Oryctolagus cuniculus: one gene and its partner. The protein of the gene in region 1 purifies or fractionates together with the protein of each later gene. This does not show direct contact. Links are inferred from orthologs where the notes say so. Each region holds a gene or a part of one and is shown on either strand. Other genes may lie near its edges. The genes, in order: WWC1 and AMOT.

Region 1 (3,807 bases):
AGGCTGAAATTCCATCACTCCTAGGAGATGCTAAGAGAACAGAGACTTAAGCAGAGTATCGTACTTGGAGGTGGGACCCTCTGGAGGTGGTAAGATTAAATGAGGCCATAGGGATGGGACCCTAAGGCAACAGGACTGTGGCTTTATCCAAAGAGGAGGAGAGACCCAGCCGGGACCTTCTGTCTGCTGTGGGATGCACTGTGTCACCTTGGGACTCCGCAGAGTCTTTACCAGCAGAGAAGCCCTCACTCAGTGTAGTTACCTGATCTTGAACTTCCCTGCCTGCACAACTGTGAGCAGAATAAACCTTTAGTTTTTACAAATGACTCAGACTGCGATGCTCAGTTATAGTTACAGAAAGTAGACAGCACGGACGGAGACAGCACAATACATACAGCTGGGTTGTGAGCATTTGTTCCCACTCGTCAGATGGAAAGGAAGGAAAGGGCTGGGACACGGCCCAGTGAGCGTGGCCATGTGAGATGGGCCAGGGGAACCATCACAATGTAAACCAGACCTGGCAGTGGGTCCGCCCGGGCAGAGCATGAGCTGTGTGGCAAAGCTTAGCAGGTGCACAGGGGGCAACCAGGACTCCTGTGAAGCCACAGTGAGCATACTCTGTACTTGCAACAGGCAGGGAAGGCGGGCCTCATGTTCCCCCAAAACCTTGATCTGGGTCAGGGGATATGAGAGTCACTCAGAGCAACCCCAAGAGGTAGGAAAGTGCAGTGGCTACACACAAGGAAGCTACAAACCCTGGCTTCTCCATCGACTTGCTGGAGGATCTGCAGAAGTAAATCAGCCTTTGGCAGAGGGAGGTCACCCCACTACTTCCTCTCAGAGCTACCATGAGGATGCACTGAGATACTGCACACAGAGTTCCTGGCCAAGGGCAGACACCCAGACGCCGCCCAGTGAGGGGACTGCTGCTGCCTGGCTGACCACAGGGCTCCCAGCAGACGCACAAGGCAGGGAGGCTCTGGGTGGCAGAAGACAATCCCTGTCTCCTCCCGTCTCACTTCCTCTCACCACCAAAACATGACAGCCTGACACTCCACGTCCCCATGGCATACGGAAAGGGAGAGCTCCGATTGGCCCCGGACAGAGACAAGCCACAGGGAGATGAGCGCTTTGGCTGCTGCCATGGCAACCAGCAATGGCCAGACTTCAATTAGGAAGGAGGAATAAAAGGCATCCAATTAGGAGGAGAAAATAGCACGAGTCTCCTCGGATTTAGGAATGCCCAGGGCTGAGCAAATGCTCCACTGGAGGCGCCTGGGTGTGGAAAAGCTTTCTGCTGTAACCGAAATGCCCACCACGCTGGCCTGACCCTGGACATCACACTTCCACTCCCACCGACGCTCTCCAGGAAATCCTGAGCAGAGATGGACCCGCCTGGAGTCCAATAAGGCTCCTGCCACTCTCTGACTGTGTGACTACAGGGAAGGTCTTTTGCCACTGTGTGCCTCAGTTTCCCCTCTGGTACACATGACCTGTTTTGTAAGGTTGAAGTGAGCCAGCACACTAAAGCACTTAGCTCAGAGTCCACGAGTTATCATCAAAATTGTCTCAGGGTAGGCATGCAGTCTAGTGGTTAAAAGGCAAGTTAAAAGGTATTTAGGTTTGATTCCCAGCTCTGCCTCCTGACTCCAGCTTCCTGCTAATGTGCGCCCCAGGGGACAGCAGTGACAGCTCAAGTAGTTGGGTTCCTGCGACCCACATGGGAGACTGAGGTTGAGTTCCTGGCTCCTGGCTTCAGCCCATCCAGGTCCTAGCTGTTCTGGGCATTGGAGAGTGACCCACTAGATGGGAGCTGGCTTTATTTTGGCTCTCTCCATCTGTCAGCCTCTCAAACTTAAAAAACAAAACCAATAAATAAATAAACAAAATACTCTATCCTCTAGAATGGCACCAGGGCTAACAAAGACTTCACTTCTTTGATTTGTATGTCACAAGCCCCTGAGTTTAACATAAATCCCCCTTTCATCTACGAGGTGGCTGACCAACATCCACCTGTACATGTGGCTGCTGGTCCCTAAGGACAGGACACACACAGACCCCAGGCTCCTTCATATCCGATCCTGACTCCTGCTAGTGCAGTGGGTGGGAGGAAGCCACATGAGCTCTGTTCCAGGGAGTGGACCAGTAAGGGCCCCGCTGCACGAGAGCCTTCTGTGTGTCAGGCATGGCAGCAGGTGCTTTTCCTGTACTGACTCCCTGGATCCAAGTAACAACTTCCCTAGTGGGCATCACTAGGGCATTTTATGGATGAAAAAACAGAGCACCAGAGATGTTAAGTCCACTGCCCAAGGCCACCCAGCTATATAGCAAGAAGAACTGCTTGTTCTCATTATTCAGTGTTTCTTGTCTCATCCTTAATGCTGCACAGGTAAGCTGTGGTCTGTGGCTGGCATCTCCTGCATTTCTCTCAGGCCCACTACTCTTCCTCTTATGAGGAAAAGTATCTCTGTCTAGAAGCCAACGAACTTGACCGGTGATTCGACCTGGGCCTCCTTCTCGCCTTCTCTCTGCAGCCTGGGGTGGACCAATCCCCAGAAGGCTAGAAGGCTAGAAAGACAGAGGGACAGACGGAGATACGCTCTCACCAGGCACTCCTCTAGATGGCTCCTGTCCGTGGTACAGACGTCGACTCTTAAGGTCTTCTGGTGTAGGGCTGGGTAGGACATGGACACCCAGAATACCTCGTTGAACACCAGGGTGTCCGAGGCGTCCAGGGGCGGCGTCCGGAACAGGCAGGTGGTGCTTTCGGAGCAAGGAAGGATAACCACGCGAACGTTCCTACAGGGAGACAGGGTGGCAGGAGAGCTTGGGTCAGCACAGGTCTGGGGCTACTGTGTTGGGTGAAATAGCCGCTGAATCTCCAAGATTCACAGTGGCTGTGAATGTGCAAATTTCTCAAGTTGCTACACGGGTACTTGTGAGCGATGCAGGATATGCCGCTGAGGGGCATGCACGCCCTTCCTGTCCCTGAATCCCCCGCTCCATACAACCGGAGCCCGAGGCCAGCAGCAGCCAGTGCTTGCTGACACCGGGGAATCTGCCCCTCCTACCCCAAGAGGCAAATGCAACAAAACCTTCCTTGTGCAGGGGAATTCGATAAGCCCAAGAAAACTATAGCTGTGCTGGCCCTCTCTTCTAGGCACTGTCCCCCTGATACCGTGGACAAGGACCAGTGAGACAGACCAGGAGAAGGATGTTCACCCCGGCACTGCCGACACCTGCAGAGGACTGAAGACCCCCGAGCATCCAGTCTCGTCCTCCTTCTGTTTTGTCTGCTTTCCTTTCCCTGCCATTCCTCTCCCCCAGACGCTGGCTGGGTACAGACCAGAGAAGCAGGAGCTCCCGTGGCTGCCCTTATGGCCTAGGATGGTCCCGTTACAGGAGAAGCAAGTAGGCAGACGCGTGCCATCAGATGCAAACCTCGTCTACAACGGGAGAGCCAACACGCAGATGGTGCAGGTGTCTGTTGGCTGATCAGCCTGTCGGTAATCCCAGCCATACCCTGGCACGGGGAGCACAGGAACTGGCGCTGACCCTTGAGAAGCCAGGACTCACTCCTTTCTAGGTGCAACACTTGAGCTCAGAGATCTACCTGACTGTGACCATTCCTTCTTCTTCCTGAGGCTCAAGTCCAGGAGGGCAGGGTCCATGAAGGATTTGCTCAGGGCTCCAACGCCTAGAGCCAGTACTGGCAGGTGCTCAGTATGTACAGAAACTCTCTGTGGGGCCCTTATGCCTGTATCCACGTAAACAGAGCTGCAATTTTGCATCAAGGTCATGTGCATT
Region 2 (4,354 bases), on another chromosome or scaffold:
TTGCTTTGTGGTTTAGCGTTTTCACACACATTTCATTGCATTTTCACACCAGTCCCTTTAGGTTAACAGGGCATGTCTTAATAGCTTTTATTTACAGGAAAATGAAGGCTGAGAAGTTAAGCCACTTAAAAGTCGCAAACTAGCTACTAAGCATCAGAGTCCCAGATAAATTCTTGCTATGGTTCCAAATTTCCTGTTATTCGGCTACCCCTTCACTGTTTCTCTGTGCTTTCTTTTCCCCTGATGTAAAATGGTAATTTTCGTGTCCCAGGATGATATTTTCAAACCCCCATGATCTTCAGCAATATTGATTTTTCGCAGCCAGGTAATGGGAACACCACATTGACACTGCACGCACTTTTCTCTCCTCCTGGTTTAATGAAGTAAGGAGGCAGAAAAGTTATCTACTTCTAGCGGCCTGGAGAGTGCCATAAACATAAAGGTGTACAGGGAGTCCGCAGACACATCGTCGCACTTTTACCAGACAGAAATCAAGTTTCTCATCTTTCGCTTCCCAGCAGCAGCTGCGAGAGAACAGAGCTAGACAATAGCCTCTTGTTTCGTTTTCACGAATTTTGAGGACGGGTGGGACAAAAGGATGGGACTGGCGTCTTAAGGGACCAATCGAAAACGAACCCTAAGCTAGGACTAGCCAACGGGTAACCGCAAAATAGCGGTGGGTTGGAACTTGCTTCAGGGTTCGCTCCGCCCGCCCAGCCCGTCGCTCCCAGCCCACCCTAGGGGCGGTGCCTCTGCAGGGCCCCGCCCACGCCCCCTGCCGCCTCCGAAGTTGACCGAGGGGAGGGGCGCGGGGGTGGGGTAGGTGGGGGAGCAGAGGAAGAAAAGAGGGTGTCTCGCAAAGCTGTGACCTGGGTGGAGGCCTGCTGGTAATAGGAAGCAAGAGGGGAAGGGAAAGGAAGGAACGCTGCTTCCTCGTGCCTTATTTTAGCCAGGCTTTGGTGGTAGTAGCTTTTCAGCATTTCTATTATTTGTTTCTTTTTCCTCCTGCAGTGTGGCCGGGAACTGCACTGGGTCTCCCACACGACTCGGCTGCGCTATGCCCTGAGAGTATTATTGGCCGTCTTGACAAAACCCTCTCCTTCCTCCCAGCCAGTGCCTGCGTAGGCTGTCCAAGCTGCCATAACCGAGGCACTCCCGGCAAGTGGGAGGGCAAGAGCTAGGGTCCTCCGTTACTCCCCCTCCCCCGCAAGCTCAGGGACCCAGAGTTCAATTGTTTGAAACTTCCCCGCCCCCTGCCCCGCCTGTCTTCCGCGCCCGGCCCCCCTCCCGTGGTCCAGGCCGGCTCCCACCCTTCTTTCCCCGCCCTCTACTCCGCCCCACTCCGTGGCCCACCCCCCGCTCCTGGGCGGTCCTAGCCGCTCACCGCAAGAAGAAAAGCCACCCATTCCTCCCCCTCCCCTACCTCCCATCCTTTGCCCAGGAGCTGCCTTCATCGCAGTCACGCCCCTTCCTTCCGAGGAGCTTTCTGGCTGCCTAAACGGGTAGACCCCCTGAATTACTTCTTCATCTCCTCTCTCTTTCGTCTCCTCTTAGTTCTCACCGTCTCTCCCCCACTACCACCACCTCCAGTCTATCTCGCCTCCCACCATCCGCTGCTCCACCCTCCGGCCCGGTATCCTGCCTGTCCACTGCCACCAAGGAGAGCCCGGACGGAGCAACGAGGAGGGGAGCAGCCGGGACTTGGGGCTTCCCCCCTGCCCATCCCTGGCCGTTGGCCCGGGACTGAAGCCACTTGAGCCAGCAGAGAGTCGTCACCTTGTCTTCGTTGCCTTCAGGGGTAGGAGACGCGTGGTTACTTTTTGCGGGGAGCTGGGTCAGGAATCCATGGTGGCATGAACTTGGTCGTGCCCTCGGCATGAGTGAGTCGATTTAGCTGCGTGTGGCAATGCCCATGTGTTCCACTTTCTTTACATCTGGCCGAGAGTTTTCTGGGATATGCAGCGAGTTAAATTGATTAAAGACTACTGCGCTCGTTTCCCGTCCTACTTTGGCTAGGAGATGCTAGTGGGTACCAGGACTTGGTGGTACTTAATTGACTCCTGGGGTTCTTGTAGGTCTCTAGGGTAATTAATCACCTAAGAAACTAAAGACCCAAAGAAGCTGAGCTCTACCTTCAGCCCAGCATGAATGTCTGCTCTTACCTCTGATAACTGGCTGGGCCTCTTTCAAGTGTTTAGGGTTAGGGTGGGTGCTTACACTCCCTGAGCCCGAGGGCGTGATTTCTTGAAGTTTTAAAGTCTAGAAGTAATCTGCAGTACAACGCTGCTTTCTCTCTCTCTCTCTCTCTCTCTCTCTCTCTGCTCTCTCTCTCTCTGTGTGTGTTTGTGTGTGTATGTGGTGGAGGTGGTGGTTGCTTCTAAGTGCTATTGAAAATTCAAATATATTAGAAAGCAATGTTGCACGATTGGGCAGGTACTTTGAGGGTTCACATCTGGACCACTGTAATTTGGCGCTTCAACAGTAAGATGGGCTTCATGAATGCAAGAAAATAATGAGCAGAAAAAGTGGGAGGGAAATGAGAAATTTTATAGACTGAGCTGTCCCTGGTAAATTCTCACCACTAATAATCATATATAATAATTTACACAAGGAACTAAATACAAATTAATGAGAGGAAAGAGAAGTTGGTGAGAAATGGCATTTCCAAATTTTGTGTTTGTTTTAGAATTTTCTGACAACTTGGGGTATTTAGTTCTGTTATCCTCCTTCCTTCAACATGAAGAGTGGACGTTAAGGGGCAGTTAGAAACTTATGAATATAACCTTCCTCTCCCATTCAGAGAGGAAGATAATTAGTCACCATAATCTTCAATGATGAAGGGCTAAGTGTATTTAAGTCTCCTTGAGCTAGGCTTTGTAAAAAGTTCTTTCTCAGGCCAGCCTTTGTGAAGCCTTCTCAGTTAGACCTTTCAGCACCCTCATTTAGTAGCTAAGAATAGTTTGAAATGCCATTTTGGATGTGGGATAAATTTTCACCCATCTTTCACCTATCTTCAATTGGACAAGGGTGTCAAGTTTATGAGAATTGGGGCATTCAGATATCCCCAACCTGTGACTTGTTTGGGAACAAATTACTTACATTTTAAAATAAATTCTTTGGTTGGTTTTAATGGAAGAAAAGAAAGCAGGAAGGTGGAGCAGGAACGTTACATGGAGATGATTTTAAAGACTATCAGGTTTCAGATCAGCTGGGAGGGAAAGCTTACTTAACCAAACTACATTTTGTAACTGCCTAGGACATTTTAATAGCCAGGTGGTTGTAGAGTAGTTGCATCTATTTACAGAGGATACCTCAAGTTCCAGCTATTCTGTATGGGTTTATCCGGTATCATTTACAGACATTCTGGCACTACATCATAATTCATTTGGAGTTCTTTGTTCTTCGGAAAAGTTTGTAGCTCTGTAAAATTGAAAGTGCATTTTTCTAACTTCACAATCTAGATGTGAAGTCAATCTCTGACCACATTTCTGTGTAGAGTAACTTTTACGTGAGAGTTGTAGATCTGTTTACCTATTGAAAGAGATTTTTAGAAAGCAAACAGTCAAAATTCATATTCAATACTGTGTTGAGTTTGGAAATTAAAATCTCATTTCTGGTTTATGAAGTATAGTTTATTTGACTAATGAATAACTAGGGAATTCTGTGGAGTTGCTTTCTCTGAAGTTTTGTAAAGAATGAATCAGATTCTCTCTAGGATGCTTTAAGAACTTCTAATCAGAAGGCAGAGGGATGGATGCTATGACTTTGAGATCCCATTGAGTGCCAGAATTCTAAGTGGGTACATCTGCTTCTGGGCCTCTCCTGAGAGCCCTCTCCCAGGGCCTGTGCCTTCTTTAAAAGGGTGTCTTTGTAATTAAGCAGCCCCTCTTTCCCCCATCCCCCTTTTTCTCTTTGATCCAGCTTTTTAAGGCATTTTCCCCCCATTTGGAGACAAGAGGAGTTTCTCACACCCTCCTGCTCCCCTCTTAGCGTTTCTTTTCCTTTACCCCAGAAAAATTCCCTGAAGTTCTCAGGATGATTCAAAGTTGTTTTGTTTTGTTTTGTTTGGGGGAGGGTTAGGGAGGGGTGGGATGGGGGGGATTGTTATCAATGAAGAAGAGTAGAGGATATATTCCCTCTTGGGAAATGCTTGTGACCAGGTAGCCTCCTCCATGGAGACTGAGCATTTGGAATGCATGAGAACAGTCTATTCTTTAGGACTGTCTGGTAGAAATTGTCCTTTGCACCCATTAAACACAGCTTAAACCCACTGAAAGGGGTGGAGAGAGGTGTGTGTGGTCCAGGCCAGGCCTTTTGGGATGGTAAATGGGTAAATGTTTCCAAATCTCCTATT

The links.
Region 2: the proteins of WWC1 (region 1) and AMOT purify together in Homo sapiens (affinity purification with mass spectrometry; 3 studies listed by BioGRID and IntAct, with this or other methods). This does not show direct contact. The link is inferred for Oryctolagus cuniculus from reciprocal best matches to the Homo sapiens genes WWC1 and AMOT.

What each region holds. Positions count from the first base shown.
Region 1 is NC_091437.1:55,263,190-55,266,996, reverse strand, and holds part of WWC1 (protein KIBRA), read right to left. Parts: intron 2,800-3,807; coding exon 2,607-2,799; intron 1-2,606. UniProt on the Homo sapiens protein: Regulator of the Hippo signaling pathway, also known as the Salvador-Warts-Hippo (SWH) pathway.
Region 2 is NC_091453.1:80,509,663-80,514,016, forward strand, and holds the start of AMOT (angiomotin), read left to right. Parts: upstream 1-1,334; 5' UTR 1,335-1,798; intron 1,799-4,354.